4 linked regions of the Schizosaccharomyces pombe genome follow. The gene in region 3 interacts genetically with the main gene of each other region. Each region holds a gene or a part of one and is shown on either strand. Other genes may lie near its edges.

Region 1 (7,265 bases), on a different chromosome or scaffold from region 3:
GAAAAGATATCTACTGGAAAAGTCTTAAGAGACAGTTGTTTTTTTTAAACTCATTTATTTGATTAATTTATTTTAATTTTCAATCTTGAACTCATTTTCTAAAATTTTCTGGGTTTCTGACAACTTAATAAAAGGAAGTTGTAATTTTACAAATACCTCATTTCTAGTTTATAATTACAGTAAATGAGTGCAAAAGAGTTCATCAACACTTAAAAGAAATTTAATTAATATACTAATTTTTAAAAATATAAATTCAATTTTAACTTTTTGCAACTAAAGTCGATTTTTTAATATACTTCATTGCTTTCTTCACTATAAATAGAATCCAAAATTTGAAGATTACAAAATAGCTGTTAAAAACTTAACAAAGGCAATTATTACAAATACTGAATGTATAAAGCTTGGGCCCCAATTGCAATTACCTAATAATATGTATACGAAATATAGCACAATCCTAAAAGTTCAATTTCAGTATATAAGATTTCATTTAAACTATAAATCCTCCTGTCATAAAACTAAATTTATTTTGAGTAAACACCTTTTATCATTAGCACTGACACTGGTTTTACTGTGATATGGTGGTGTAAGCTATATCCTTACCCAACTTACGATCAACGTCTCTAAATTAACTCATAAGGTTAATTTAAATGACACATTTAGGAATCCTTGAATATAAATTTGAAATTTTCAAAAAGGAATTCTTTAAGAAACCTAAGTTCTGTTAATTACCAAGCCATGGATAATGTTCAGGAACACGATCCTGATACTCAAGAGCATAATAATGAAACTCAGAACCATAAGCAAGAGGACCATTCTAATTCCTACCAGACAAGAACTATTCCTTTCATAGAACCCCTTTCAAGGGAATACCAGAAACGAATTATTCTATGTCAAACAGGTAATCCTTATAAAGACTTGTAACGTTTTAAACATAATTGCAAGCTTTTATTCCGCAAATTCTAAGTTGCTTACTTTGTATTCAGTTAATGGCCCGTGTCCTATAATTGCTTTGTCCAATGCATTAATATTAAAGTCAAACGTAGATCGACCATTTGAATTGCCGAAGAAAAGATACATCACACCCGATGAACTGACAGAATACTTGGTGGAGTTTGCTAAAGCATACGGCTTATGCAAAAATCAGCAAAGTCTTCAGGATAAACTGACATCTATGCATTTCGGTCAGCAATTGAATCCTTGTCTCTATGATATTGAAAAGTTTGAGTATGGGCATGAAATCTTTTGTACATTTGGAGTTCGATTAGTTCATGGTTGGATTCTTTCAGATGATATGGGTTTGAGCGACGAAGATTTAAGCTACCTTCGAAAGCTTGAATATTATGAAAAAGTTGCAGATACATTTGCCGAACGTCGTTCTCTATTAGAGATGCAGGAGCCACTAACTGAACAGCAGCAAGATTTTTTAAATAATTGTAAGTTTTTACTTATCTGTCGTGCATACTTTCTTCAGTTTACTGCTTGAGAGACTTTAGCCTTATAATTTGCTATATGTTTTTTACAAACTAACACTTCAAATAGCTACATGTGTTGACAAAGTTATGGAAAATCGTTATACAATGCAATTTTTGACGAATGCTGGTCTTAAAAAGATTCTTGAGCTTGTAGGTCCAGGGGAAATAGTCGTGGTTTTTCGTTCCAGTCATTTCAGTACCATGTATTCAAATCCAGATTCATTCGCACAATTTACTTTGGTCACAGATAGTGGATACGCAAGGACAGGTGAAGATGTTGTGTGGGAAACCTTTGACTCGCAAACAGTTGAGACAGGCAATGGTGAACTTTGTGCAGCTAACTTCATTCCTGCTGTTTATGTTTTGAATCAAAGAAAGGAGGAGAAAAAAAAACGCGCTAAAGATGATGAACAATATGCCAAGAGACTAGCGAAAGAAGAAGAAGAAAGAGGAAAAAAGGAGACTCCTAAAAAGGCTTCCAACACTCCTCGTCGTAACAAATCCAATACCCAGAAATCACGTAAGCAAAGCGAAAACTGTTTAATTTCGTGATGAAACATGATACTTAGAGGATCTGTCTTTTATATTTTTATTTTTTGTATTCGCTCTAGTGAAAGCGTATGCATTTACTACATTTATTCCATAGTTTCTTTTACGTCAACAATTATTAATTAATATTGAAATCTCCTAAACTTTTTTGAAAGATTGAAAAGTAAACAAGCATTACATATATCCGTAAGACTAAAGATACTATTGCTACCAAAAAGAATTTTCTTCACCTTGTTAAATGCTCATGGTTCGTAAATAAGTAAGCCTCGACCATACGGTAGAACCCAACCGGTACCATTCATTGCTTTTACCCAAGACCCATCTCGACATAAATATTTACCATCGTCAACTCGCATTTCCTTGAATGGTAACGAACAGTCGGTTTTCCAAAAACGTAAAACATAATCATCACCAGCACTGCTAAAAATGCTTCCATTCTCATTTTTCATCAAAGCTAAATTTCTTTCAAGCAAATTAGAATGACCCATATAAGACATAATTGACTGGGGTCTTTTTTTACTTTGCAGAAATCGGCAATCATACAAAGAAATTTTAGATTCCAAACCACTAACCAAAAGCTTCGGTTGGGAAAAATCTAAGTTTTGCATTGAACAAATGCTAGATCCATGATAGAATCGCTGTACACATTCTTTCTTCGTCCGAAGATCATACACTAATACACTTTTATTTCGACATCCAGCAATGACTAAGTTGTCACCCAAATATTTAAGACTGAATACGTCTCCTTTAGATTGCAAACTTTGCGTTAATTTTCCCTCTCGATTAATTATTGCAATTTTTGAGGTGCCACCAACTGCAAAGCCCATCTCTCCAATACTTTCTGCACATAAAGGGGTTTTCAAAAGTTTAAGAGATCCCCAACGGTAATTATTGGATTCACCCAATAGCTGGTTATAAGTAGATATATGAAATTGTCCCTCATTCTGCAGAGAAGGAGATGTAGACCAGAAAATTTGCATTGCGTTACATACCAAAGAAGAAATGGGATTATTAGAGAGGCCTATCCTTGACAAGGAAAAATCCTGAATTGAACCTTCTGAAGTATATTTTTCATTTGCAACTCCAGATTTGTCTTCAGGGGTAAGACAACACCCCAATATGTCGCCGTTTTTGGAAGTTAAAATTATGGTATTAACTTCGCGAAGCCAACCTATTTTTTGCAGCTCAGTCCCAACTGGAAGCTGCCGAAGATTTATTTTTTTTAGGTTTTTTGCACATAAATAATCTCTGTCATCATTACAAGAATAAGGATATTGTGAAAACTGTCTATCAAAAAGATAAGTTGAAAAGTTGAAAACGGGATTGCCTCCTTTTCCTTTGGTTCGTTCTTTACTGATATTATTAAAACGCTTCCCCCTTTTCAACCTCTCCTTAGTATAAATATTAGAGGACGGAGTAGACTGCCCCGAGCTAATTATTCGAAAGTAACGCTTTTTTTCAGAATTGTAATAATAACCGGGAATATGAAATGGTAGTCCGCTCATAACCCAGGGATTGATGGTAAGCAAAAGAAATTAAAAACAAAAAAGGTTTTGTTAAAATGTTGTCGTTATACCATTTCTCTGTTGTATGTAGCCAAATACTTAGGTATTCAAAAGACAACACAACTATATAAATTAATAAAAAAAAGCACCAGTGTGCGGCAAACGGTATAATAAGGTAACACGATAAAATTCCTTATTTGTTAACTTATAGTTAATAGCTTAAATGCCCCCTATAAGGAAAAAATGCCGTAAAAGACAAAATTACTAGTGCTTGCAGCTAAGCTTATTGTCGCTCATAAGCTAGTTTCAGAGATTCCTCCATTTTCTATGTATTGAGAAAAATATCGACTTCTCTTAACAGTGCTTGGAGCGTCGTAATTAAAAATTCGTGCTTCGACTTCTGTATACTAGAGTTACCAATTAGCACAAATTCCCTCACGTTTTTAAGAACAATGCGCACAACGGAGGAGAACAGCTCAGGAGTTAATGTGCCGCTGTTGTTAAATACTGATAATGTCATAGTCCGAAGACGTGAAGTAGCTCGCGATAATAGTTGAAGACGAGAAAATGATAGCTGTTCCTCTTTTATGATTAACTTGGAAAGAACATGAATAAATGCTAAAAGATGAATTGAAGAACAATCATCTAGTGAATAATCAGGCACATCTTGTAATGACCGGAATGCTTCAATAGAGGGATCCTTCGTGAAGCAAATTAACGCCTCTTTATTCTTAGAAATGCGAACCAATTCCAAAACTTTTTTCGATACTGCAAATGACTCAGATTCTTCAAAATTAGAAGAGGATGTTGGACTTTGATCGCTAGTTTCTAATCGCTCAATCATTAAGAGTTTTTCAAGCTTTTGGTTAATGTTTCCTATGCGGTTTGAAAAATCGCACAACTGCCTATTACTGCTTCTATAAGTGGATGTTAAGTTTTCCAAGTCGTTTGCCAAAAATCCAGTTTCTAGGAATCCTACCTCAAGAAGAAAAGGTTTTGAATGTATCAATTTGAAAAGATCAGAAATTTCATCGGTTGCAGCTTCTGAAATAGTCTGCTCCAACAATTTCATGTAAGAGTTCTTAACAACCAATTCCACTCGACTATGCAAGCTTTCAAATTTTGCGTGGATTCTACTTTTCATGACTGAAGAGATATTTTCTCTAACCTCATTAGGATTTTGAGGAACGTATTGATTGAAGAATGGCATGGAGGGATAACAAACTGATCCCAAAGACTCTGTAAGATTTTGTGTTGTGGAATCATCCTTAGATTTTGCACAATTTTTTAAATCTTGACTCAAAGCCCTTAGCGTGTTATTAGACTTTAATCCCGAAGTTAATGATGCCCTAGCTAAAATTCGCTTGTCAGAATTAGGATATTCCAAAGAAGTGCCCTCGTCAAATTTGGAATCGCTTTCTATGCAGAACTGAAAATATCCAGAACTTAGTGCCAAAATTAGTTCAAGTTTGGAACTATCACAGCCAATTAAGGTGACAAAAACAATGCTATGATCCACCACCTCATTCGATATTACTTTATTAATATAACCAGAATCTCCAAAACGCTTGCCTTTGGAAACAGCAGAGATCAAAGCTGCAGTGTTAGATAATACACCCACATTGGATAAATCAGAAGGTGAATAAATAAAGATATCCAAAAGCTGATTCCTTTTTGCAACAATCATGTTTGAATTATTGAAAGTAAGTAATTGCTGAATAGGTGATTTCTCTTTTTCATTTGAAAACTCAATTTCTTGAGTAAAAGCACATAACCCAAAATCAAATAAACCTAATATAGTATTATTAGCATAGGAGACACAAATAACTTTATCAATGATATCATTATTGTTCGGTGGAGATGAAAGAAAAGAAATAGAATTTGCTGTACTCGGAAGCTGAAGGCTCATTGTCGCGATAGCCGCCCAGTTACCTCGGTGTGAAGGATTAGTAGAAAATAAATTAGAAACTGGAAATGAATAGAAAAAAATTTGAGAATTCACTAATATTGCAACAACAGAACGGTCAGAAGAGATGGTGTATGAGTTAATCGGCCCAGGTAAATCAACCTTGGCAGCTTGTAATCCATTAAAATCTTTTGCATAAACTTTAGGGCTAATATTATTGGAACGAATATTTGATATATCCACAATATATAAAGAATTCTTTACAATCATAGAAAACATATTTGAAGAATTAGGAATCCAATCACAAATACCATAATTGGCACGACGGATGGTAAACAAAAGTGAAACTGAAATTTCAGATCGCTTCTGTAAAATTTTCCAAACATACAGATTAGAGAGAGCGTCCATTACCAAAAGATGGGGCTTTGTATGCTTATTTTTGCCAAAATGTAGATTTTTAACATCAGATTGCGTATAAAGTATGAGCGATTGATCGGTATTGGCGTTCAGTACGCGAATATGGCAAGGATCCTGATCCACGTATGCAAAATATTCAGAAAATTTATCAATAACTTGTGAGTTAGCATAAAATGTACTATAAGGAAGATCACAAGATGCTATTTTATTGCAATCTTCTAAAAGCAAAGGAGATGCAACGAATGAAGCCGGAAAAGAAAAAACTCGACCCAAAGAGGGTTCAATACAGTAAACATCATGAGGCACATCAGGTGCGGGTGTTAAAATTTTCTTTTGCTCATCCTTCAATAGTTGAGTATGCATTTCAGAAGACGTTGAGGATTTGGTTGATGGAACTTCATCACCAGAATTTGGCTTCAATGAATTGACTGATTGTCCAGGAGAAAATTCTCGATAATCAGCGACAGTTCGAAATTCTTGATATTTAGTGGTTGACGATTTATTTTTCCCCTGGTCAACCCTTTCATGAAAGGCTTTATCATGCTGCGAACTGCTATTTGAAGACAAATCCTTTTCTTTCATTGAAGGAGGCTTCTCCGTATCTCTAGATTTGCCATTTTGTTGCAATGGACTTGTGGCTTCTAAAAACTCGAACGGGTTAAAATGATGAAAGAATGGCTTGCGAGTTTGTTCATAGGAACTGCTTTGGGGAATTTCATCACTAGATAAGTTTGAAAAATTATCTCGAACATCGAGAGAATCTTGATATAAATCTTTATTGTCTGAACGACTTACTAAGTCAAGTAGAATGCTATCATCAGGAGTTCCATGGTTCATTGAGGATTCCGATAATGCCGAAAAAAAAAGTTCATTACTTTCGTCAACGAACGATCCGAGATTTGTTTCATTAATTGATTTTTCTTTATAAAATGACATATTAACAACGATGGTTGTTTATGTAGTGCGCTTTGTTTGCACTCTACATGTACTGGGCTTTTGTTAGTGGGCAAGTTCGAATTTTCGCTAATATTAAAAATAAGGAGGAAGCAATTTAGGGAAATACATTCGTCAAACTTCATCTTAGAATTTAATACTCACATTTTTATTAAGTTTCTCAAAAGAATGTGAGAATGCAACTATTAATTATTTAAGAAACAGAAACATAAATAAAAGCATTCTCAAATTTTTAATAAAAAGCGAGCTTTAAATTTGACAAAATGACTCTAATATCAGTTTATTACTACGATAAAAAGGATGTATGATGGATATATCTAGGTATTTGCTCAATGCGGCCCATATACTTCATTAGGCTACTACATATTTCCAACCTTACAGTCTCACTACTACTATTGATTAAAAGTAATCAGCTAGCCACGTAAAAGAGAAGAAGTCATTTCAAAAAGAAGATGTCTCAAC
Region 2 (10,230 bases), on a different chromosome or scaffold from region 3:
AGTAAGCTATACCATCTCCAACTCTGTCACGGATCCTCTTTATAATAGCATCAATTCCAATTGTGTCAATTTCACGAGCTTCAATAATCTCAAAACCACAATCAGCATCATTATCGTAGTCAGAGAGACCGGAGAGAGTTGTACGAATACCAGCATGAATGTTTGAATCGTTAGAAACTAATCCTTCTTGACTAGCATGGTAGAAATAAGTACCATGGTTAATGCTACCAACACTTGATTTGCCGCCTCCAAAAACCTTGGGCTTCCAGCTGTCCAAATGACTATCGAAATGAATGATAGAGACAGGTCCATATGCACGAGAGACCGATCGAAGAATTGGAAGGACAATTGTGTGGTCACCACCGAGGGTGATAACTCTAGGCAAAACGCTTCCATCTAATGCATAACCATCTTTCTCAGAATAAGATGTAGGCTTGCGAGTTAATAATTCGAAATGGCCATTCTCGATTTGTTTAATAGCAACTGCATTGTCATAACTCGTCAAAGGAATATCACCACAGTCCACAATTTTAGCCCAATTGTTGAAAGGGTTGGTCTCCATTGGAACGTTGTAACCACCATAAAGATTGAGACGACGAGATCCTTCACGGATACCGCTTGGACCAAATCTAGCACCAGGACGGTAACTAGTACCAGTGTCGAATGGTGCTCCAAGGAAGGCAATGTCGAAAGATTGACTTTTGTCGTTTAGACATTTCCAATAAGGAAGACGACCAAAAGTTGCGATTCCCGAAAAAACGGAATCAGCTTGTGTTTCACCATCTCCTGGAAAAGCATCGTCAAAGGTTTCAACTGCATTTGCACGAGATTGCTCAAAGATCTTTGGGTGCGCTTGAGCCAATTGAGCAGCACCCGCGAGAAGAATCAAAAAAAGGCTTTGAAGAGCCATTTGAATAATTGTTTGTACTGTTGAAGTTTATTGCATTTTCAGGTGAAATGAATAAGGTATTTATACTACATTTCAGATATACAAACTTCTTCAAATATCTCCAAGGAAATTTTTGAATCTGCCGTGGGGATTCACATTTCGTTAATATAAATAAGCATTCCTGTAAAAACGATTGATTTCGTCATTTGAGTTGAGCATCCACCGGAACAAACTAGTATAACGAGAGATTAGGATGGATCTTTAAGTTAGATCTAAGATATTATTGCCTATCAGAATTTCCTTGGAAATAAAGGCATGATTGTACGCTCCAAGGAAAATAAATTACGGAAGGCGAGGAAATTCGGGCTTTTATGATTAACTTTTAAAGTCTTATAAAATGGTTAAATTCATTTTTGCTTTTGAATAAAGACATATTTAGTCACAAAAGCCTCTGCAAGCATATACCCTTTCGGTGATCATAAAATTTTTGACAAACAAGCTTTGTGTGGCTATTTCGGCTTGGAGGAGTTGACATATAGATCTTTAGTCTTATTCAAAATATTTGGTATAAAATATTTACGAGCTGCTAATTTTGCTAAGACCAATTTGCTTTGAGAGTTTTCTGCTTGTAAGGACGACTCACATTCAGCATTTACAATGAGTGACATCGACAAAGAAAGCTTAAAACAAAATCAGAAGCAATGGGAAAATGAAGTTGAGTTGGGCGAAAGCAGAGAAGCTAATCAAGATGATGAGCTTCTGATGAGCCTTGGTTACAAACCAGAATTCACTAGAGAATTCTCTTACGTTAGCATTTTTGGTCAATCGTTTGGATCAATGGGTCTTTGTCCGGCTATGGCGGGTTCACTCATTTTCTCGATGAACTGTGGAGGAGGAGGCATGGTTTGGTCATGGATTATTGGATGTATATGTCTGATTCCAGTAAGTATATCATTGGGCGAACTGGCGTCTTCTATGCCTACTTCTGGAGGTCTTTATTTTTGGATTTTTACCCTAGCATCACCATCGTCAAGAGCATTTCTCTGCTGGGTTTGTGGTTACGTGTCAGTGCTTGGCTACGCTACGATTTATGCTTCAACAGTGTACTCTGCATCATCTATGGTACAGGCACTAGCTGTGATAGGTAGTCCTTCTTATTCACCTACAAAATATGAACAGTACGGAATTTACGCAGCGTTGCTTTTCGTGATTTCTGCCATGACTGCAATTCCCTCTCGTGTTATCGCGAAGGTGAACATCATTAATATTACCTTCCAATTCCTTGTATCCATTATTCTTATTATTGCCCTTGCCGCAGGATCTGACTCTACTACTAGAAATTCTGGAAGTTTTATATTCGGTGATTTTACAAATTATTCTGGATGGTCAAACATGGGATGGGCATTTATACTTTCATTCACTACTCCTGTGTGGGTTGTAAGCGGATTCGAATCTAGCGCCGCTGTTGCTGAAGAATCAACGAATGCTGCCAAAGCAGCTCCCTTTGCTATGATTTCCAGTCTTGGTGTGGCTACCATTCTTGGATGGTGCATCGTTATCACCGTTGTAGCTACTATGGGTCACGATTTTAATGCCATTCTAGGTTCCTCTTTAGGCCAGCCTGTAGCTCAAGTACTGGTTAACAATGTTGGAAATAAGGGAGCTTTAGGAATTTTCTCTTTGCTGGTCATTGCCCTTTGTTTGAACTGCATTTCGTTACTGATTGCTGCATCTAGAGAAGTATTTGCTTTCTGCAGAGACGGCGGGATTCCAGGAAGTAGATACTTACGTCTTTTGACTAAACAGAAAGTTCCCTTAAATGCAATTCTTTTAGTGCTACTCTATAGCCTTTTAGTCGGTCTACTAATTTTGGTTAATGTCACTGCCATTTCTTCTGTGTTTAATTTAGCAATTATTGCTCTTTATATCGCTTATTCCGGCCCTCTTATGTGTCGATTTGTGTACAATAAATTTCAACCTGGTGTTTTCTACGTTGGAAAATGGAGCAAACCAGCAGCCTTATGGTCATTAGTTTGGATGTGGTTTATGATTCTTATGCTTTTGTTTCCTCAATATCAAAAGCCCAACCAAGATGAGATGAATTGGGCTATAGTGGTCCTTGGATTTGTAATGGTCTTTTGCGTGGTGTATTATTATTTGCCAAAGATTGGTGGTAAAACTTTTTTTACAGGTCCAATACCTACTGTTCAACAGGAGAACGAGTACATATCTGGTGTTCCACTAAATGAACTATCTTTAAGCAGTTTACCTTTGCCAAAAGATTTTGACCAGAAGCAAATCACAGAGTAATTTAACCTGAGTGTTATACTTTTCTTAACTCTTCTTTTTGGCAACAGCTACGCTGTTTCATTGTATTTTTACTGTGCTTTTATAATTGTATGTTTATTAACAGTTCTTTTTTATTCTTTTGTTCCTAGTCTTAGTTAAATAGCTTAATATTGTTTTAATGTCTTTTAATGAATTAGTGGCTCTGTTATCATTATCAGTAATATAAGATTATATAAAATTTTTTTTATCTTTCGAGTACGTATACTTATCGTCTTGTCCAGATTTTCTTATCATCACTTCCCTTATAACCTATACTTAAGCACGACTTGAGTAGTGCTAAAATAAATCTGCAGATGTATATGCTTTTTAACAGTAAACTGCACCAAAGGCGGTAATGCTTGCTTACAATTGATACGCATTCAGCTAGAATTTAAGATAGTTGTTTAATTACTCTTTTCTTAACATAAGATGTCTCAAAATAAAGCATGTGATCTTTGCAGGTTGAAGAAGATTAAATGTAGTCGAGGGCAACCAAGATGTCAGACTTGTACTCTTTTTCAAGCGGACTGTCATTATTCTAATCGTGCTCGCCGTAAGAGACTTGTTCAAAGAAGCAAGGAGACGTTTGGGGGAATTACGTTACCCGTGTTTGATTATGCCGCTGGTATTAACGGCAATGAGCCAGAACCGAGTGATCACTCAATTCCAAATCAAGAAAATTTTGCATTAACTACTAATGGAACTATTAGTAAAAACATTGAAAAACCCGAGGATGGTGAAGAATCCGTTCAGAGACGCCTTAAATTGCTTGAAGAAAAAATCGATTTGTTGTTAGATATAGCTACTGAAACTTCAGAATTTAAACGTGAAAATAAGGCTATTGAATTACCTTCCTTGGTTACACAAATTAAAGATGCAGAATCGATTGTTATTAAACACAGACAAGGTAGCCCTGTCGACAATACACCTACTCGGATACTGAATGTGGAAAGCTTGTTCCCTCCACAGTTGCCGGACTGGGAGAAGGCATTCCATGACATTCCCAAGAAGGAAGTAGCCCATGAGTTAGTCACGTCTTACTTTCAGCATGTAAATTGGTGGTGGCCTACCTTCGTATATAATGATTTTATGTATGAGTTCGAACGTCTTTATGCGTTCGGGTTCCATAGCAATAATGCTTGGCTAATTTCTTTTTATTCTATTTTAGCATTAAGCAGCATTAGGAAAAGACTTGGTAACTCAAAGACGCTTGCAGAGTCTTTGTTTTCAACAGCTTGGGTTTTTGTTCAAAAGTCCGACTTTTTTCTTACTCCGAGCATTGACAAAGTTCAGGCTTTAATTGTCATGACACAGTACGCAGCTTACCTGTCTAGCTCTTCTTTATGTCGGACTTTGTGCGGCCAAGCCTGCCTCATGGCCCAACAATTAAACTTACATAGAAAGCAATCCACTGATGTGGAGCCTGAAAAGGCTGAATCGTGGAAAAGGATATTTTGGATGTGTTATATTCTCGATAAAAATATTTCTTTGATTTTTGGAACCCCTTCCGTTTTTAACGACAAGGATATTGATTGTAATTTGCCTGATAGCAAATATGAGCTTTTGTTTGGTGTACAATCTGGTGGTGATTTGATATTTGTTCCTACCGTATCGTTGACAATAATTCAGAGTGAAATACGAAATCGACTATACAGCGTGAAGTCACCTACGCAAATGGCAGCGAGAGAAAAAATCATCATACCAATACATCAAAAATTGAAAGCGTGGGAAGAAAACCTTCCTTCTGAAATAAAAATGTATCATGAAATGTTGCTAAACAACACTTTTTCTCCCACTATATCGCTTAGCGATCGGTTCGAATTTTTAACTTTCGCAGGTATGGAAGTTTACTTTTCTTACTTAAACACTTTAATTATATTACACAGACCTAGCTCGTCGACAGAGAATCGAAGGATTTGTATTAATGCAGCCCGTGAAGCAGTTCAATTGTTAAAAAATAGACTCAACATTGATCTCAGGGTCAATGTTAAAGCAGATCCGCTATGGATATTCCTATACTGTCCTTTTACACCTTTTTTAATAATATTTAATAACCTTGTTCACGAAACTGATACGGAAACGGACTCAGAAACATTACTTAACGATTTGGATCTTTTACATGTAATTTACGATTTTTTTATGGAAATGGAGCCAGTTAGTGACGTGGCTTTGGAACTTGTCAAAATTGCAGACAAACTTTTGCGGGTTGCTAAAGAAGTTTGCAGTGCCAAAAATAATGATGTTACGGATTCTACTTTTAAAGATATCGTTGAAGGTTTTGAACTTAACGACTTAAACAGTTGGGATTTTGACAGAGTAACCAATGTTATGAGGAATCTTTAAAAAAATATGAAAGTAACGTTGTTTTATTAATAATTTATTTGCTTTAATGTACATGGTGAACATCATTACCGGTTAACAATGAAGCTATTATCAAACTATTTTGCTTGATCAACTACATGCATCGACCCAAATGTCTAATTGAGTAGTGCAGTCAATTCAGAGGAGTCACCAAATCTTGAGATTGCCTTTCTTGATTGGGAAATCCAGTCAGTTGCCATTACAATTTTCAGTTCTAAAATTCCGACTATGGATAACGCTATTACCTGTCCAATCCAAAGACCGACAAGACCTTTGCCATGGAAGGCTAAATAAATTCCTAGAGGCAGAGCAAACAAATAGTAGGCAGTAATGTTAACTATAGCGCCAACCTTCTGTCTTCCCGTGCCTCTTAAAGCTCCTCCCATTGTACCATTCAAGGAATCTGATATTTGGAAAGCAGCTACTAAGGGCATTACAAGAGCAACCAGCTGAATGACATCTGGATCATTTGTGAAAATCCGTCCATAGATATTGCGTACGGCAATCATGGTAATCATGATAACGCTTCCTACTGCAACACCTACAATTGCTGCGACCTTAGCAGTTAGAGAAGCATTGTCAGGTAACCCAGCTCCGAGATAGTAGGCAACTCGATTAGAAGTAATTATTCCGAGACCGAAAGGAATTGTGTTAAGTAATTGATCTGTGGTCATAATTACTGATTGAGCGGCAAGTGGTACAGCACCAAGTTTACCAGCAACTAGTGCTACTATTTCAAAAGCCCACCATTCTGTTCCCACCATAACGATACCCAATAGTGATAACTTTACAAAAGGTCCAAAGTTCTCTAAGCATCGTTTATTCCAACCATTCCACGCCTCTGCCCCTTTTACGTATTTCGCATATTGAGTTAATAAAATGAATGAAAGCCAGTACGATAATCCAGTTGCCAATGGAGCGCCTTTTAAACCTAATCCATAATAATGGACAAGTAGAAAATTTAAGGCGACATTAAGAGGAGAGGTAACTAGAAGAATATAAGAACCAGCCCTAGTGATTTCTTGTGTTTGCAAAAACTTTTTTAGCAATTCAAAACATACATAACCTAGTCCGCCTGGGATAAGGTATCGTAAAAACTTTTGTGAAGCTTCAGCTAATTCAGGTGTTTGATGCAAGAAAATTAGGATGGGTTTAGAATACCACCAAACTAAACATATTGGCAGATATAGAATACTGAGCACGATGAAACCCGTTTGCAATAGAATTCCCAATTCTTGTTTTTTTCCGGCTCCCCAAAGGTTGGAGCCAAGTGTGTCAAAAGCAGTAGTTCCACCTAGAGCAATCAGCCAGCCTGTGCTCATCGCAAACATGTACGCAAAAGCAGCTACGGAAAGCTCGCTTGGTCCAAGGCGCCCGGTTACAATAACTGAACTAGTTTGCAAAGAGTTTTGCAAGGCATATCCAAGGATTACCGGAGCTGAATTTATCAAAAGGTATTTCACCTCTGTAAGTGGTCTACCCATAATAGTGCTTTCTCAGAGAAAATTTGGATATACGGTGTATTTTTTAATATAAATAAAGAGTACTTCTTAATGTCTGTTCACCGAAGGTTCAAATTTTCCTTTAATAAAAGTTTACTAAGCTTTTATCATATTGATTGAACGGATGGAACCATAAATTTATATCAGAGAACGCTTAGAAGCCGCACATTTAGGGCATAAAACTTCAGATGTCATGGCTAAACATTAGTATATCCGTGGAGATACGGAAATTTAGAAATACCCACGCAAAATATTTTTCGCTTAGCCAACAGACATTGGGAATTCTCGCCGAGTTTTTGCTAACTTAAATGATAGCAGTTAGCATATTTTGCCGGTGAAAATATTATTACCGTCTCACTCCGCTGGTTAAAAATAGTAGGTAACAAATCGGTTGCAGACTAAGAAGCTATTGACTCGCACGTTATTCTTAATTTGTTGAAATTAGTACAAAAATTTGAGCATGAAAGCGAATAAAGAGTACAAAAAATATTTTGTAATTTTACCTTGCATACTCATTGACTGTTAATAATTATAACACTTACCGATGGTGGTAAAATATATAGCAGAAAATAGCTTGGTGAATTTATTAGTCAATAATGATTTGAACAAACATTACAGAAAAAACGATTTGTAATTTCCCAAATAACTGTGTATAAGTATGAATCCAGTTGTTTGGCGTACGCATATATCATTCTCGGTTAATTTTGCTTTTCAAAAGTTTATATTTAGATTGCTGTGACTTTTAGAATGCAACACGAAATAACTTTAAATCTTTACGTTTTTATTAAAACTTTCTAAATTAGTTTATAAACATCCATTCGTTCTTTAAATAGAATAAGCACCAAAATTCATCTTTGCTTGCAATCACTCTCTTACTATATAGATATATGCATGATATGACAATTATAATCAACATTAAATAAACACAACAACAACAAATAATCACACTTGTTCTTACAATTTGTAAGCGTTTTTGCTCCACGCACGAATGCTCTTGCCAAAACGATAAAATATAAAAGGAATGGGAACCATCGCTACAGAAATAAAACCAAGCACACTAGTAGCCCAGTGATCTCCTAAATTAAGGTACATAGGCCTGGCCACCATACTTATGCCTCCACTGGCAGAATAGCGAACTAGAGTAGCTGCAGCTAAAGCGCTCGGTGCCATATGTTGATACGAATCAATAATGTAATTGTATGAAACGAAAAAAACTATTAATAAGGAAAACCCAAAGAAAGCGCTTGCTATTATTGGTACAATCCAGTGAATGTGATGTGGATAACATGTCCATGCAAACCAAAACATTGATATAGGCAACAAGAAGCAACCAATAAACAGCGGATACAAACGATCCTCTGGACATATAACTCCGTTTCTCTTTTTGTTGACCTTTAAATAATGCCAATAAATAAATGGAGTGCACAGACCTGCACATACGATTCCAACGCCAACACCAATAAACGACAGCCCTTGCTCACCTTTGTTGAAGCCGTATTTTGCAAATACTATAGGATATCCTTCAAAATTAATGTAGTTAATGATGTACACCACAGTCAAATACAAAGTAAAGCACACAACAATGGGCTCTGTAAAAATAAGAGAAACAGCTTGAGTAGCTGCCTGAATCATTGCATTTTTCGGATCTCGTTCCCGCTCATGGATGGTATAGTAAGCAGTGTTTCCCGTTGTTTTGCGAAGATATTTGGCCTTATAATCCAAAATCGTATCTTCGTGAGTTTCGGGGAAAAAAATGAAAACAAACACGATTACAGCAGCTGCCCAAATCATATTAATCCAAAATGTCCATCGCCATTCCAGATAGCTTTGTGTAATGAAATCACCGATTATAGGTCCAATAATTGGACCAAGGTACGGAAAAGTACAAAACCCAGGAAGGACATAGGTACGCTGGACAGGTGTAAACAAATCACTGATGGTTCCGCCAGCATTTGCCAAGGGAGTACTTCCAAAAACACCCTGGAAAAATCTTACAATAGCCAACGTCCAAACATTATGTGCACAACCTCCACCTACTTGAAATATAGTAAATATCAGTAGGGTAACAAAGTATATGATGAATCGGCCATAAATATCACTTAAAGGTGCAAATGGCAAAGACCCAACACCAAACCCTACTAAAAAAGTACAAGAACCTAACGTAGAAACTGGAATAGAGCTATGAAGTTCACTGGCGATATCAATAATGCCGCTAGAATACACACTAGAGGCGAAAGTAACAACAATGGTAATAACAGAAACCTGAATGACAATCCACCATTTATAACTATGGCTCCAGTTCCTTGGATTTAAGGGATCGTCTGGACCATCCCACGTTACAAGATATTGGTCCTCTGCTAAAAGGGTATCATTTAAAATATTTTTGCTTTTTGCAGGGCGTCCCTGACTAAGTGGCAATGATGCTCCTAATGAAACCACTGATCCTCGATCATCAGCAGTAGTATCAATAGCAGCATCAGCACCGTTAGACAGCTGTTTTTCTAAACCATTCAATGATTCATCTGAAAAACGTGAACCCACTTTCGAATAGTGCTTTTCAAATTTCTTTCCCGTAATTAAGGAAAGTAAATCCATGTGCAGTTAGTATTGAAAAGGAAAGAATAAATAAAAGTGGGTCAAAAGTAACGCCAAACAAACGAAGGTTATCGAAATATATGCGAAGGAGAGATTTATATACTAGTCAAATTTAAACAGCTGAGATTGCTTTAGTCATCGCGTTGTTCCAGATCGTGAACGAAAACACCGATTCGCTCGCTAAAGTAGATACGAAATGTCCAGCAGATTTTGCTTAATTAAAACATAAATATTGATGAGCAAGAGCAGCTCGTTATAAATCAGACCTCCAAGGATTTTATCAACTACTCAACTGGTTATGTGAATAATGACTCAGTTAAATATTAAATGTACTCTAAACGGTTATCATACAATTTATTAGGAGGATTATACCAGCTAGTAGGAATTTAACCATTTCAAATTTAAACCTCTTTTTTTTCGTAACTTGGGGTCGTCATAATGAATAATTCTGTTTGTCGAATTTGAAGGGAAAAACACACTTGTTATCTAATTCCAAAAAAAAATAAAAAATTTTTAAAAATTAGTGGGGTTTTTTTTTCACCAATGTCTAATGAT
Region 3 (6,416 bases):
CCCGAGTTAAGAGAGGTATGCAAAATATCGTTGGCTAACGGAGGTTATGGAGCCAGAACGACGGGTGCTGGATGGGGTGGATCTGCGGTACATCTCACTACACACGATAAACTAGCTAAACTGGTTGAAGCATTGACGGAACAATACTATAAAAAGCAGTTTCCTAAAATTACTCAAAGTGAATTAAATGCCGCTGTTGTCGTATCGAAACCGGCTGCTGGATCTTGTATAGTACAGTTAGCCGAATACTGATTAACAGACTTTTTTCAGTATAATTTAATCAAATCCCGAAATACTTATTGAATGCTAGTTTTAATTGAAAAAGCAAATAAATAAAGAATCACAGAAAGTTTTTTAAACAACGAAATATTAGAAATGTTTTTCTTTCGTTTCGCCAGTGATGTGAGTAGGAAGATCAACAAAAAATGGTTATAAATAAACGAGATTAGTGCAGTTGGTTAATTAAATTGAAACCTTCGCGATTGAATTGTACAAATTATATTAAATAGTTTAAAAGAAGACAGTGGTTCCCGCTGATAAACATCGATTCACTTTTTATTATTAGAATATCTTTCAACATAAATATATAGTTTGGGAAATCAACTTTTAAGAATCAGCAGGTGAACATTACAGAACAATGTGACTAGACTTTGTATGGAAAAGAATATTGTTGGCTTTTAGAACATTGGTTTTAGTATGAACTTTGGCTACACATTATTCTAAAATATATTTTAGAAGTGTTTGATTCCATATTCATTAGCAGGAGAAAACATGAAAATCCTATTGGAAATCAAATAGTATAATATATACGAATTTACTGAAGACTCTGCATAAAGTTTTGATTTGAGTTTGAAAGTTTATTATTTGTTTGATAATAATATTAAATTTAATGAGCTTATATCTGAAGCTACTCCAAAAGAAAAGAATCTTTATCATTTTATTAAGCCAATTATATGTTATGGTATTCTTTTTTTTGGGGGGAAGGGATTTATAAGCTTAATTCGTGATGCAAGTTTTTAAAAGAATTTTTTAGAAAATTATATGGCTAACAAAATTTGCGGAAAGATACTATACTTACCGGTATAGCTTCTTAAAAGAGATCATTTTCGTTTTTAGTCAATAAAAAGTTAAATATCAGTACCTGCCATAATTGTATATGGTAAAGCTATCAATTTTCATATGATGTTCAAGGAGCCTCAAAAAAGAATGAATAAAGTGATCAAAAGTTCTCTTTTTAATAGTAGACAATCTGATATAAATATCAAGCAAAATTAAATCACCTAATTTCGATTTAAGCAAATAGTCAAATATATAAATTTTCGTTAACTAAAGTTTTACATTAGCTTTAGGAAGGCTTATATGACTTCGTTCCGAAACCACTTTATACTCTCCATATTTTATTTACTTTTTCAGATAACTGGATATGAGAATACATACTTTTAATTTTCACTTTCGTTTTTTTAGAATGATAGAATTTATTACGTTCATTTTTTTGATACTATATATAAGGCAGATGAATAATATGTGCAGAAATTGTTTTTATTTGATCGCATAGGAACACGCAAAGCTTGCAATTCTAACTTACATGTCAATAAATCCTTAACATAAATAAGTGCAGTGATTTTAGAACAAATAATGCAAATTAAAATTCCCTTAATTTAAATACGAGGCAACCTGGAAGTACTTTAAAACTGTTTAAAAAGTTCCACATATTTTCAGTTTGGTAGCAATTTGTAAATATATCTTACTTTAGATTGCTTTTTTTTGGGAACTTGTAGCTCAATATGAACTTTTATAACATTCTATTGTAAAATGTGTTAATCGTGCTATACTTAACTTTTTTATCAACTTCCATCATAAATCTCATACCGGATACTTAACACTTGCTTAATTGTTAAAGACTTTTATTACAATCAAATATATTTGTTGTGTTTCTGTTAATTTTAAATTATAACAACGGTTTCACAAACATAAAAGCAATAAAATTGTAGCGCTTGCATATTTAATACTGAATAATTATAATGATGTGACAGTAAGTAATGATGAAGCGGCTCAGACATTTTGGGAATCACCTGTAATTAAGTACAGTAGTTAAAAGATGCGAATTCTTGTGTAAATTTTTTTTGTTTTCAATTATATTTCTTCAAATCACATGCATTCTACATCATCGTCAACCCATACTTACTTTTAGCTTAAAATTTATTTTTTTCATAAATAGCTATTGTCTATTCGATTGGGGTTAAGAAATCAAACATTAAAGCTTCGTTTGCATGTCAATTTATTAGACAAATTTACTTTTTCAGGTGAAGGAGATACCGACAAGTAGCGGTATAAATTGTTGAAAAGCTAAGTCTAATGTGTATGTCAATACGTAAACAGAGTTTTTGAAAGACTCTGAATAACTCGATTTTTTGCTGCCAGAATATAATTTGCAATTTAAGAATTTATTGAGCTAATGAATCAATCGATCTAACAATTTCCATATGCTGCATTTTTCAAGTTTTCAGACATAACTTTAAAAACGAGTCATTCATGATGTATCATTAAGAATTCATTTTGTGACGCAGTAAATGACATTCATAGTATTTGATTAGACTTGAAACGAAAGATAAAACATTAGTAACATCAAGTGATAATACTTCATTAAAAACCGTAATTAGGTTGACTCCATAATTGAAATTCATAACAGACGCACCTTTAGTGCATGATTAGGACGGTACAGTCAGTAAAATATTGGTAAGGATGATTATATTCTTTTCGATCATAAAACGATAAAGAAAATTATTTTTTCACAGGAGTGGGCATATTTTGAAATTCTATTTGTTCAATGTCAGAACCAACTGTTGCCTTTGAATGTGATCCTGTTTCTCCATTATGTGTAGGAAGAGTGTCTCCCAATGGCTTAACTTTTATGCCGAAAGCCAAAATTAAAATTTTGTAGATCAGCCAATGGCAGATGTATAAAATTTTAACCATAGCCACCGCGATAATTACTACGACCGCTGCTATAACTATACTGATCAATGGTATAGCTTTTACAACAATCTTGGAGCAGTCTATTTTAAATTATTAGTAAAAAAAAGGCATCACTGTAAAGGAAACATACAAATTAAACCAAGCAACAATAAAACAAACAAACAAATGTAAATAGCAATAGGCCCCCAAATTTCACTGTAAAACCGATTTTCATTTATAAAACTTTCATTTATCCAAATTGAAAGAAAATCTTTGACTTCAAAGTTCTTGTCTATTGCGAAAACAATCAAAATACACCAAATAATAAGCAAGGGCCAACGAAGTTTACTGCGGGTAGAAATCCTACCATCAGGATAACAACTATCATGAAATTTAGAAAATTCAGTAAAAAGGTTATCTAAAAAGAACTTTATTTTATCTGTCTTAATGTTTATTTTATCTTTTTGAGGCTTGATGATGTTGGTAAAGAGATTTTGTTTGTTTACCTTTTCAGGCTTACACAATTCAAGTCCCCACTCCAGGTCCACATTACGAGTATCTCTTACCATAAATAACTCATTGTAACCAGGGGGGGTCAACCTGTTTTTTTGCGCTTTCTGGATTTGACATTGGAATAAAACCACAGCACTGCAATTTGATAGCTTTAGCACCACTAGTAATGTTTTACAATGTAAAATTAAACAGTGTGGTTTATGGAAGATAATAAGAAAATATAATAAAACATTTTAAAGCCATAAACGAAAGAATTAAAAAAAGATCAAAATTGGTGAATGTTTTACGTTCTGAGATGTTTCATTTATTTGGGAAAAACATTATGATGTGAATATCTTGTAATACTTACAAACTTTTTTTATCGCAATTCCTATATAACGAAGTTGGTTTAGTTTGCATTAATATACGGTTCCCTTCAAAGTCTGTAAATAGTGTTAAGGATACCATAAATTGCAATGAAAATCATGTTCTTATGATTTGTGTGTAAATAATTATGTTGGATTGTTCATCATCACGGTTGCAAGTATACAGGATTATTAACGACACATTGATAATGATAATAATGTATGGTAGTACAATCAAACTCGATCTATAGTGTGCTGATTTTATAAAATAATAGTTGAAAACATCGTACGCATACAATAGCTATAAACATGAACAACCTAACTACGTAGCAGCATTATAAAGCATATAGTTAAGTATAGTTGACACGAAAAATCATGTTTAAGGTGTGAGTATTTGCGAAAGTAAATAAAAAGAAATGGAAGACTATAGATTTGTTTGTGTTAAAATTGTAAAAATAAAAATAAAAATAAAAAAAAATCTCGTTGAAAAATTTATATTCGTATGTAATTACAACATCGTTCGCTACCTAAATTTTATTCTCTTGCGAAAAAGTAAAGAATAGGAATCAACGACTAAGTCTATACATCGGACTAACTCTTTTAGATCAATTGTACTGAAAACTTTGGTTCCGCTTAGCCAGTTCATATTTTCTTTAAATTATGGCTCTGGGATTTGGGAACAAAAGAAAACTGAAAATGAAAGGGAAAAAAGCATGAAGCAATGTTACAAATAAATGTATAAGAAGGAATTCCTGTATTAGAAGTTATATTACATTTTCATATAGAAATGATGATTTATGGTCTATTGATGTTTTGATCGTTAGTGCTTCCCATGATAAAAACAAATAAATTGCCATATGTTGAATCCTTCAGATTTTGAGTAAGGCTGAAGATGAAATGTCGCAATAATTCATAACTGTAATACTACATAAAGACTTTGATTATTGAGTTTAACTTTCATACATTTATTGCATTTTTAGCAAATGCAGTAGAACGGGCTTTCAAGAGATACAGAGGAAGAAAAGCGTAAGGGAATTATAAACTGGAATTTGTAAACATCTCTTGGAAATTATATCAATCTTGAATATTGGCTCATCATTAAAAATCATAGTGGAATACTTGGTTGTTATTCGAGTAGTTAGTCAGAAGTTATTGTTTTGATACACATAACCTTACTTGAATAATGTTACAAAAAAGAAAAAATATAATGGAAATAGATGAATCTAAAACAAATTTAATTTTTAAGCGATAAAATTGAAACAAACATTCGTCAACAAACTACTCTAAAATTTCACCTGCTACTAGTTTTACTACGAAAACGTAATATACTAGGGTTTCACAAGGTAAGTCATACATTCTAAATTTCTCCTTCCAGCATTTTGAAAATATCTTCTTTGCTCTAGACTTGGTTAAATACAGATGTAATAATATATGTTAACCACAAACTGCACCTACTTGACATGTGAATGGATGATATCTAAGAGGTGAAATTCAAATCTAAAGTAATGTTATGCAACATCTGTTAATTGTGTTTGTATTTCTTCTTAAAAATAATTACACATTTAACACGAAGCCATGAAAAGCGTTAGAGGTTTCGCCTCTAACTGATTTAAAAAGGAAACCCAAATTTTTTCCCTTCTTAATTTATGTAAAAGTATTGAGAAATACCTAGTTATAAAGATGAAATTTCGAATATTTCAAATTTCATATAAAGAAAGATTTCTTTACAAGAAATGAATGAGTTTTAAGAATATATTCACAACAAAGCATTTGATAAAATTGATTTATTAAGTATGCATTGAAACATTCTAATGAGATTTTTTAAAGGAAACTGCAAAAAAATAGAGCGGTATATATGCAACTCGTTAAAGACGAGTAGTATAAGAATTGCTTCGCTTTCTTCAAAGACTAAATATGGAAAAAGAGTGGGGGATTACTATATTAACAAGTTTTCAGAACAGAAACAGAAACAATTACAACTATCTACAACCGAGAATCTCTTTAATTAATGTTTTCCAGTTCAGTCTGGTTGAAGATTCGTTTTTTGGCTTCTAAGTTAAAATCCAAGTAAATAACTGACGGGTATTTTATTTTAGAATAAATCGATAGGAATCCGAATCGTTTATAATATAATAAACGGGATAAAAGCTACTCATATTGCTAATGATAATCCAGTAGGCATACTACGACTGAAGAAACATAATTTTTTTTCGAATTTTTCCTTATCTAATGGAACCAGTACCATTTCGTGAATTAGCAGATTTTCATTTGTTTGTTTTAGCCTCGTTATTCAAATTCAATAATGTAATGGAAGATTTTCCAAGAATAATAGACGTTGATAACAATGGGTGGGAAACCGCAAATTTTGTTTGAAAATCAGAGGGAAGATCTACACAACAAAAAGAGCAACAAATTTGAGCAGTAGAGAAAAGACCAAAAAAGCGTGTGTTTTCTGAGACAAATGTGTCACAACTCGCCGATAAATTCGCAATCACATAAAAATTGGTATTCGTTATTGACTAGTGGGAAAACCACGTTACCTCAACGATTTGCAGTTGTTACCACTTTTGGTGACATTTCAAAAAGAAAAAGGTGATTTGCAAC
Region 4 (7,665 bases), on a different chromosome or scaffold from region 3:
AAATCCACGATGCACATTTGGATTGAAGCAAACTGAATATTAAAAAAAAAATAAATAAGCAAAAACCGTTATTGTACAGAAATAAGCTATTACTAAAAAGTGAAGTTGGAACGGAAGACACTTTCGCCTATCAACCAGACGTATGACAGTAAAAAAAATAAAAAATCCTGACCTAAAGAGTATTTTATAAGAATAGAATTAATTATTAAAAGTTCATTTCAAATAAAACATAACATGTAGTAAAACTTTTCAACACGACATGAAAGAACAAGTACCACAGACACAAAACCCAATCCAGCGGTTGAAATAATCACAATCCGAAACTTAAAATTTCACCAATTTAGTTATAAAAACATTCCCTTTTCAATTCATTAAAGGTTAATGTCGAGCATTCACCCAACCGCATATTTTATAAAGCAAAATAACCAAATAAAATCAACATAAGGATCTTATTTCCAAACCTTTACAATTTTTTCAAGGCATTTCAAATAAAATATGAAACACCGAGTATGTTATACTTAAGACAGAAACGAAAGTGCACTCGTAGGGAGGGGCAGGAAATGCTTTGTAATATACAAAATCATTTAACCAGACAGCCCGGGTTGCGATATGCAGTACATAAATAGGTCAACGGAAAAGAATGGGAGAAAAGCCTATAAATTAGCAGAAACTATTTCCTTCATAAATATATCACTTCTGCTTATAATCTGATAGTATGTTCCCAAGAAATAGCGACCTGACAAATACCCCAAAACCGATAATACATGAACTCCATTTGAAAGAGAAAAAAACGATATTTTTTTAAAATCCCCGCAAATAAATAACTGCTTTAAAAAAGAAAAGCAAAAAAAAAGTCAATTCAACAAAATGACGGACAAACAAAGCAATGTGAAAACAAGAAGACAAAAGGAATTTTACTTGTCGTCGACTCTTTTGGGAATTTTTTAATAACAATCAAACCAACAAAAGAAAGTAAGGTTTGACAAATAGGGGTTAAGTTGTCGAAAAAGGAAACTTTACAAAGTATAGAAAAAGTCACTTAAATTTTAATCTATACGAAAAATTGTTGAAGACTGCGCTAGTAACGTATGCAATAAATCAAACCAAACAGAATGTCTTTTCAGATGATTAGGAGGACTGTTATTCCTTATTTATTTTTCTCGGCACAAAGGTGAAAGAAAGAGAAGAGGGATCATTTTGTTTCCCCAATATCCATCCACTCATCCTTTCCATGTTTTTTATTTTTTAGGGGAAACAAAAGTAAGTTTTGTCTGAAATTTTTTTTATGCAGCAAGGCTTCGGGCCAACTCGGTACGTTGCTCACTTTGAGCGGTGATGCGTTTTTGTTGTCGTTGATATACAAGAATCCTTGAAACTTGAACGGCACCAACGATGGCCAAGAAAAAGTTGACAGTAGCATTAAAGTAATTTTTAGGACGAACGATCAGAGACCACCGAGTCCAAATAGCACCAGTGGCACACAAGGCGGCATATTGACGAATAGAAAGGTATTCTGGGGAACGGGCATAATCACCAATACCAGAAAGGACTAAAGTCCATTTCATGGCAGGAGCCCAAAAATGAACAGTCTTGGGACCGGCAGGGTGATTCCAAAAGCGTTTAAAGCCAGCACGAAACATTTGAGTATATGAGAAAATAAAAAAAATTGGAGGAAAAAATAAGAAGGAAAAAAAATATGTCTCACAGGAGATAAAAAAAATAAGTCAATACTTTTTGTAGGGTTAGAAATCGCAACTTTTCCTGCAAGGTCTGATCTTATCGTTGATGAGAGGAATGATAAGAAACCAATAATGAAATGAAGGAAAAAAAAGATAAAGGAATATGAAAGGGAACAAAAAAGATAAACGGAATGATGGATGCTAATAAGCTTAAGAATAGTCACTACTTTGTAAGACGAAACAATGTGAATGATATGTAAGATGGTAGTGTGAAAAAACCGAAAAAAAAAAAAAAAGCAAGAGACACAAGAACTAGAAAACAGTTTCTCAAATCAACTTTATTGTATACCGTTACTTTTTATATTTTAGTTTCAATCGAGGAAAGCTTGAAATTTCGCCAACAAATAATCCACACGAATATCGATGCTAAGTTGGTGTATACGTACTAGGGACGAATGTGTGTGTGTGTATTTATATGTAAGCTCGGGAAAAGAGTGATATGAGCAAACGAGTCAGATTTTCGTACGTCCACGCAAAAGCACGTAGTAGAGGATAGTGAATGCAAATTAGAATGTGATAAGGTAAAAATAGAGAAAAGCAGCAAGCTAGCTTTTATTTGAAGATTAGGATGGCGTAAAGAAAGGAGAAGAAAAAGAATGGGAACACTAGGATTTGTATATTTTTCTTTTTCTTGTGTTTTCGGTTTCACTGTTATGAATGAGAACTAGTAAGAATAAACACAGAACAACAAACGCTATGTATGAATGACTAGGATGTATGTATTGGAGCGCAAAGCCTGCCTTGTATATAAATTGGATCACGCTACCGTAATGTTATCGTTGCACTGATCAAAACAAATTTTCCTACGCTAAACGACCACCGCAACCAAACACTGATTTGAGGTTGATTAACTATGATATCGATGGCACAAGCACCCAACGTTCCAAAGCTATTGATTGCCGTTACCGAGCCGGAAAGGAAGCGCGAGGTAGATCGGGAATGTAAGTATGTGACAACAGACTAGAGCGAAGGAAGGAACGAACGTTTTAGAGCACCAAAACGAAACCGCGTTTTATTGATGTTGTATATGAGGAAAAAAAAAAGATTTGGATGAAGGAAACGGTCACAATATCGCTTCGGAATGTAGATACACAGCAGTAGCAATGCAATTGTACACAAATTCAGTAAAATATGTAAAGTCCGCCTGGACGGGGGAATGCGAAAATAAGGCAGTGTGTAATCGCCGAAATTGATTAGCAAGCAAGTAATTGTCAGTGAATCCATTAGTCAACGAAAATGCAAGTGGGAAAAAAATAATTGAATGAATGGATCCATTCATTCAATTTATTATTTATCCCTTAAAAGAAAAAACTCTTTTGCTTATGATGTCCAATTGTTTACAAAAGCATCGGTGGAAATAAAAGCGCAAGTGCAGTATAACAAAACATACAAGCATAACCAACCTTACAAGCGCTGTGTGTCTTGCCTTGCAAAACCTCTATTGGGATGTACACCTAAGAAGGACTCTACTTAGGAAGGTGAAGGTTGTGGGGGTTTGGGTTCTTTGGGGGCCACTTCAGGTTATCCTAGATAAAAATATTCGGTGCTCTCTGTTGATGATTTGATGATGATTGCCATAAGTTCAATCAAGCTCCGAAATTCCATACCACTGGATCGCCAAGTGCAGTACATGAGGATAGATAGATTGGAAGCGACGGTCGAGTAGATATCGGATGGCCGAATGGGCAGAGAGTGTTGGTCGATAAAAAAGGTGGAGGAACCTCCAACTAGTACATTTACGAAAGGGTTATGATGGGAATGAGCAAAAGGTGGTCTCTCCTTGCAGGCAAAGAATGAGGAGGAAAAGGAGTAACGAGAGGTTCCTCTGACATTTGTGTGGATATGCACTCATGTGATTACAATTACCCTTTCCTAAACCCGATCTGTGCTTACACTTCGTATTGTGAATGGTTGTGAATTACTTAGGCATACATAGTGCACCATGAGAAGTCAGCGAAACAAGGTTGGCCCAATATGGAGAACAGCCATACGCACGAGTGTGTTGGAGCGTCTTTTCTGCGATTGCTGACCAAATAATGAATTAAGCTTTTTTTAGGATGGCGAAAAATGGGGAAAAGACATAGGATAATGACTGATGTACATCAAGGGAAACTCATCAAATCGCACAAGTTGCCGGATCCTGTGTCTCCCAAATACCCATTTACAAGGCATCCTTGTACATCTTTCTTGTTAGTTGCGCATCATAACGAAACCAGCGGTGCTAGTATACAAGGTATTTGGTTAAACAGTGTTGGCGACGGTGATGCTTGAAATTGAGTCATACATTGATGGTATCCGTATTAGACATGCTAAAAAAAAAAATTTGTAGTAGCGTTGCGTTTATCCCATAGTGTTTGGTTTAGGTTTATATTAGAGAAGCTTGGATTCCGCTTATTCAACAAGCGCTTATTCGAAAGTGCTTAGATCGCATAAGCGCTTATTGAATAAACTGTGTAAACTCAATAGGTAGTTCGGATTGTGCTTGCTAAATAGTACTTGGATTGTTTTTTAGTCAATAATACTTAGATTTTGTTTAAAGACAATAATACCTGGAACGTATACGCACTTATACTTGAACTATATTTACTCAATCACACTGAGTTGTACTTAATAACACTGAGTTTTCCTTTCAAATTACTATTTGTCTTCTCTTTTTTAGTTAATTGATCTACTTTTTCCTCGGCGTTTACATTAAACTCCACGTTAAAACTGAAACGCCTTTTAGGCTCCCTTAGAATACATTCCATTTGAACCCATATATATCTGATTTTTCAATAAACAATCATAATCCCTGTCAAACTAATTCAATCCCTCTTTGCACCTCTGTCTATTAACCTACTTCTAGTCCTGCGCTTGGGTTGACCCTCAACGTATACTTTCCCCGACTACCTCAAGCCCCCTTAGTCAAGTTGTTTCGACAATTTCCAAATATTTCATTCTGGGAATGATCGTTTTTCAAGTTCAAGCACATTATTTTATATAAGATTTGGTGGTCAGCATTTCACAAAGCTCTAACATAACCGTGCATAGTTGGAACCACTGAGGTGGGCCCTTCTAATCCTTTAATCCAAAAAAAGTATTTTCAAGTTGGTTCAAAGAACTGCTTCTCCATATAATCGTTTTTTTCCTCTGTATTATTGTTACAAAAACGTATCTATCGACCGATAGTTTCAAAAAATGCAATTCCGTTCACCCCTTAGGCGTTTTGATGCCTTTCAAAAAACTGTCGAAGATGCTCGCATAAAAACTGCTAGTGGCGGTCTTATAACACTCGTTTCCGGACTTATTGTCATTTTTATTGTTCTCATGGAATGGATCAATTACAGGCGAGTCATCGCAGTCCATGAAATCATCGTCAATCCCTCACATGGCGATCGAATGGAAATCAATTTTAACATCACCTTCCCCCGTATCCCTTGTCAAATACTTACTGTCGATGTCTTGGATGTCAGTGGTGAATTCCAGCGTGACATCCACCATACCGTTTCTAAAACGAGGTTGAGCCCTTCGGGCGAAATTATAAGCGTTGATGATTTGGATATTGGAAATCAACAATCTATTTCTGACGACGGAGCCGCTGAATGTGGTGATTGTTATGGGGCAGCCGACTTTGCTCCTGAAGATACCCCAGGTTGTTGCAATACCTGTGATGCCGTTCGAGATGCGTACGGTAAGGCACACTGGCGAATTGGTGACGTTGATGCCTTTAAACAGTGTAAAGATGAAAACTTTAAGGAGCTTTATGAAGCTCAAAAGGTCGAAGGTTGTAACTTGGCTGGTCAGCTCTCCGTCAATCGAATGGCCGGTAATTTCCACATTGCTCCTGGACGATCTACTCAAAACGGAAATCAGCATGTTCATGATACACGTGACTACATTAATGAACTCGATTTGCATGACATGAGTCACTCCATCCATCATCTTAGTTTCGGCCCTCCTTTAGATGCGTCTGTCCACTATTCCAATCCTTTAGATGGAACAGTGAAAAAGGTAAGCACTGCCGATTATCGCTACGAATATTTTATTAAGTGCGTTTCCTACCAATTCATGCCTTTGTCTAAGAGCACACTTCCCATAGACACAAACAAATATGCTGTCACACAGCATGAACGTTCTATTCGTGGCGGTCGTGAAGAAAAAGTCCCTACCCATGTTAACTTTCATGGCGGAATCCCTGGTGTATGGTTTCAATTTGATATTAGTCCTATGCGTGTTATTGAACGTCAAGTACGTGGCAATACCTTTGGTGGATTTTTGAGTAATGTTTTAGCTTTGCTTGGGGGCTGCGTTACACTTGCTTCGTTTGTTGATAGAGGCTATTATGAGGTTCAAAAGTTAAAGAAAAATTGATCAGATTGTTTATGCACTAAATTTGTTTTGTTTTGTTTTTCGTTCTTTTCTTTTCTTCTGTTTGGTCCTATCGATCAATGTAAATACCATCGGTTTCCATGGCAAGTGCCTGATTTGTAACTTTAGATACTCTATTTCCTATACTATTCCAAATTGATACCACTTGATATTTCATGACTCGCTTATCAATCACAAATTGCTTTTAGCCTCGTTTAGCAAACAACCACTCGCTATATTCACATTGAAGAGCATACGAACCACGCACTTTCTTTCCCTACATCTCAATTCATTTCTTTTAATGTTAAACTCGTCTTCTTTCTAATTAAACATACAAAGATAAAGATCTTTCTATCTGGTGTATTCAATTTTACAAGGACATATAGTATTAGATATATTCGCTTTCCGAACCTAAAGTATTGTCTTGATTCTATAGCATTTTAAATAAAAAGGAAATTAAAATGAATTGAATTGTCTTAAAGTATTAATAAAAATAAGTATTATTTGTAGTACGAGTGATCAAAATTTTTTTAGTTTTTTTTTAGTGCACTCCAAGGAAGATCGTGCCAAGCGGAATGGTATGAGTTGTCATATCCATACACGCTCTTCTACCATAAGCATAACCCCGAGACCGACAATCATACGTCTTAGAAGCCACAAGGAAAACCGATCGTTTCCATTGGAAACCAATTTCCCTTTTCCAAATACATACATTTACAATTAGCGCTCTTTTGTACGGTGTGATCCTATAGAAACGGTTTCGAAAAATAGCAAACCACAATTTGCTGCTTTGGATAAATCACTTTTAGAAAAGCTTTCGATTTACGTGTGAAAACGGTTTTAGTATAGTCGTTATTAGAGCTGCATGGAATCGTGGAGTTTATTAAAGATTTAACAAACGAATTCAACTCGAAAAAAGAAATCCAAAACCAACGATTGAGTTTTTTTTTTAAAGTGTAAATATAATTTTTTTTTAAGAAGAGTCATTTTTAATTTGCTACTGAAATGACTGACGCAGGAAAAAAGGAGCGTGTCAGCATTTTGTGTGTTGGTAGCCCTTCCATCACGACTTTATTAGGTTGGAGGTTACAGCAAAGCTCAGTTGTGACATGCCAAGAAACTATAATGTTTTTCAATGCCCCCGAGCCTTCTACTAACGTCTTCACTATTCAATCGAAAAAATTCGGAACTCGTAAATACCGTCCGACGTATCGTTTATCTAAGCTTGAAGAGGTTACCTCTGATTCTGAGCCTTTCGATTATGTATTTGTTTCAATCAAACCTAATTCTCGCAATTTTCAATTGTCCAACATATTAGAACCGGTGATCACTGCTAAGCATACGTGTATTGTTTATAACTCTACTGGTGCCATTGGGGTTGAAGAAGCTTTGCAACGCCAATATCCTGAAAACCCTATCTTTTCTCTCATTACTCATACACCTGTATCTCAACGTTCTGTAGATGAATTTTTCTTTGGAGACTGCGCTCCGTTTTACTTAGCTCCTGCTGGTTCCAATCTCGAAATTGACCAGCTTTCCAGGTTGGTTGAGATTTTGGAAGGTGGAGAAATTTCATCTG

What was found.
Region 1: mutations in SPOM_SPBPB2B2.14C (region 3) and wdr21 together harm fitness more than expected from each alone (negative genetic interaction), as found in Schizosaccharomyces pombe (one large-scale study listed by BioGRID).
Region 2: mutations in SPOM_SPBPB2B2.14C (region 3) and toe4 together harm fitness more than expected from each alone (negative genetic interaction), as found in Schizosaccharomyces pombe (one large-scale study listed by BioGRID).
Region 4: mutations in SPOM_SPBPB2B2.14C (region 3) and erv46 together harm fitness more than expected from each alone (negative genetic interaction), as found in Schizosaccharomyces pombe (one large-scale study listed by BioGRID).

The regions. Positions count from the first base shown.
Region 1 is NC_003424.3:325,959-333,223, forward strand, and holds wdr21 (WD-repeat family protein wdr21), read right to left. Parts: upstream 3,628-7,265; 5' UTR 3,527-3,627; coding exon 2,264-3,526; 3' UTR 2,238-2,263; downstream 1-2,237. Other genes in the region: cysteine-type deubiquitinase Miy1, read left to right, coding at 736-898, 984-1,433, 1,540-2,024; protein eti1, read right to left, coding at 3,852-6,785; nce101 (non-classical export protein 1), read left to right, coding at 7,256-7,265.
Region 2 is NC_003424.3:113,525-123,754, reverse strand, and holds toe4 (transcription factor), read left to right. Parts: upstream 1-3,521; 5' UTR 3,522-3,646; coding exon 3,647-5,560; 3' UTR 5,561-5,694; coding exon of another isoform or gene 5,695-7,062; 3' UTR 7,063-7,701; downstream 7,702-10,230. Other genes in the region: SPOM_SPAC11D3.09 (agmatinase), read right to left, coding at 1-910; SPOM_SPAC11D3.08C (amino-acid permease), read left to right, coding at 1,547-3,199; SPOM_SPAC11D3.06 (MatE family transporter), read right to left, coding at 5,695-7,062; mfs2 (MFS family membrane transporter), read right to left, coding at 8,035-9,675.
Region 3 is NC_003423.3:4,489,799-4,496,214, forward strand, and holds SPOM_SPBPB2B2.14C (uncharacterized protein), read right to left. Parts: upstream 3,525-6,416; coding exon 3,107-3,524; intron 3,057-3,106; coding exon 2,782-3,056; downstream 1-2,781. Other genes in the region: galactokinase Gal1, read left to right, coding at 1-252.
Region 4 is NC_003424.3:210,458-218,122, reverse strand, and holds erv46 (COPII-coated vesicle-associated protein Erv46), read left to right. Parts: upstream 1-4,599; 5' UTR 4,600-4,916; coding exon 4,917-6,089; 3' UTR 6,090-6,409; downstream 6,410-7,665. Other genes in the region: pyruvate transmembrane transporter Mpc2, read right to left, coding at 1,284-1,640; SPOM_SPAC24B11.07C (oxidoreductase), read left to right, coding at 7,092-7,665.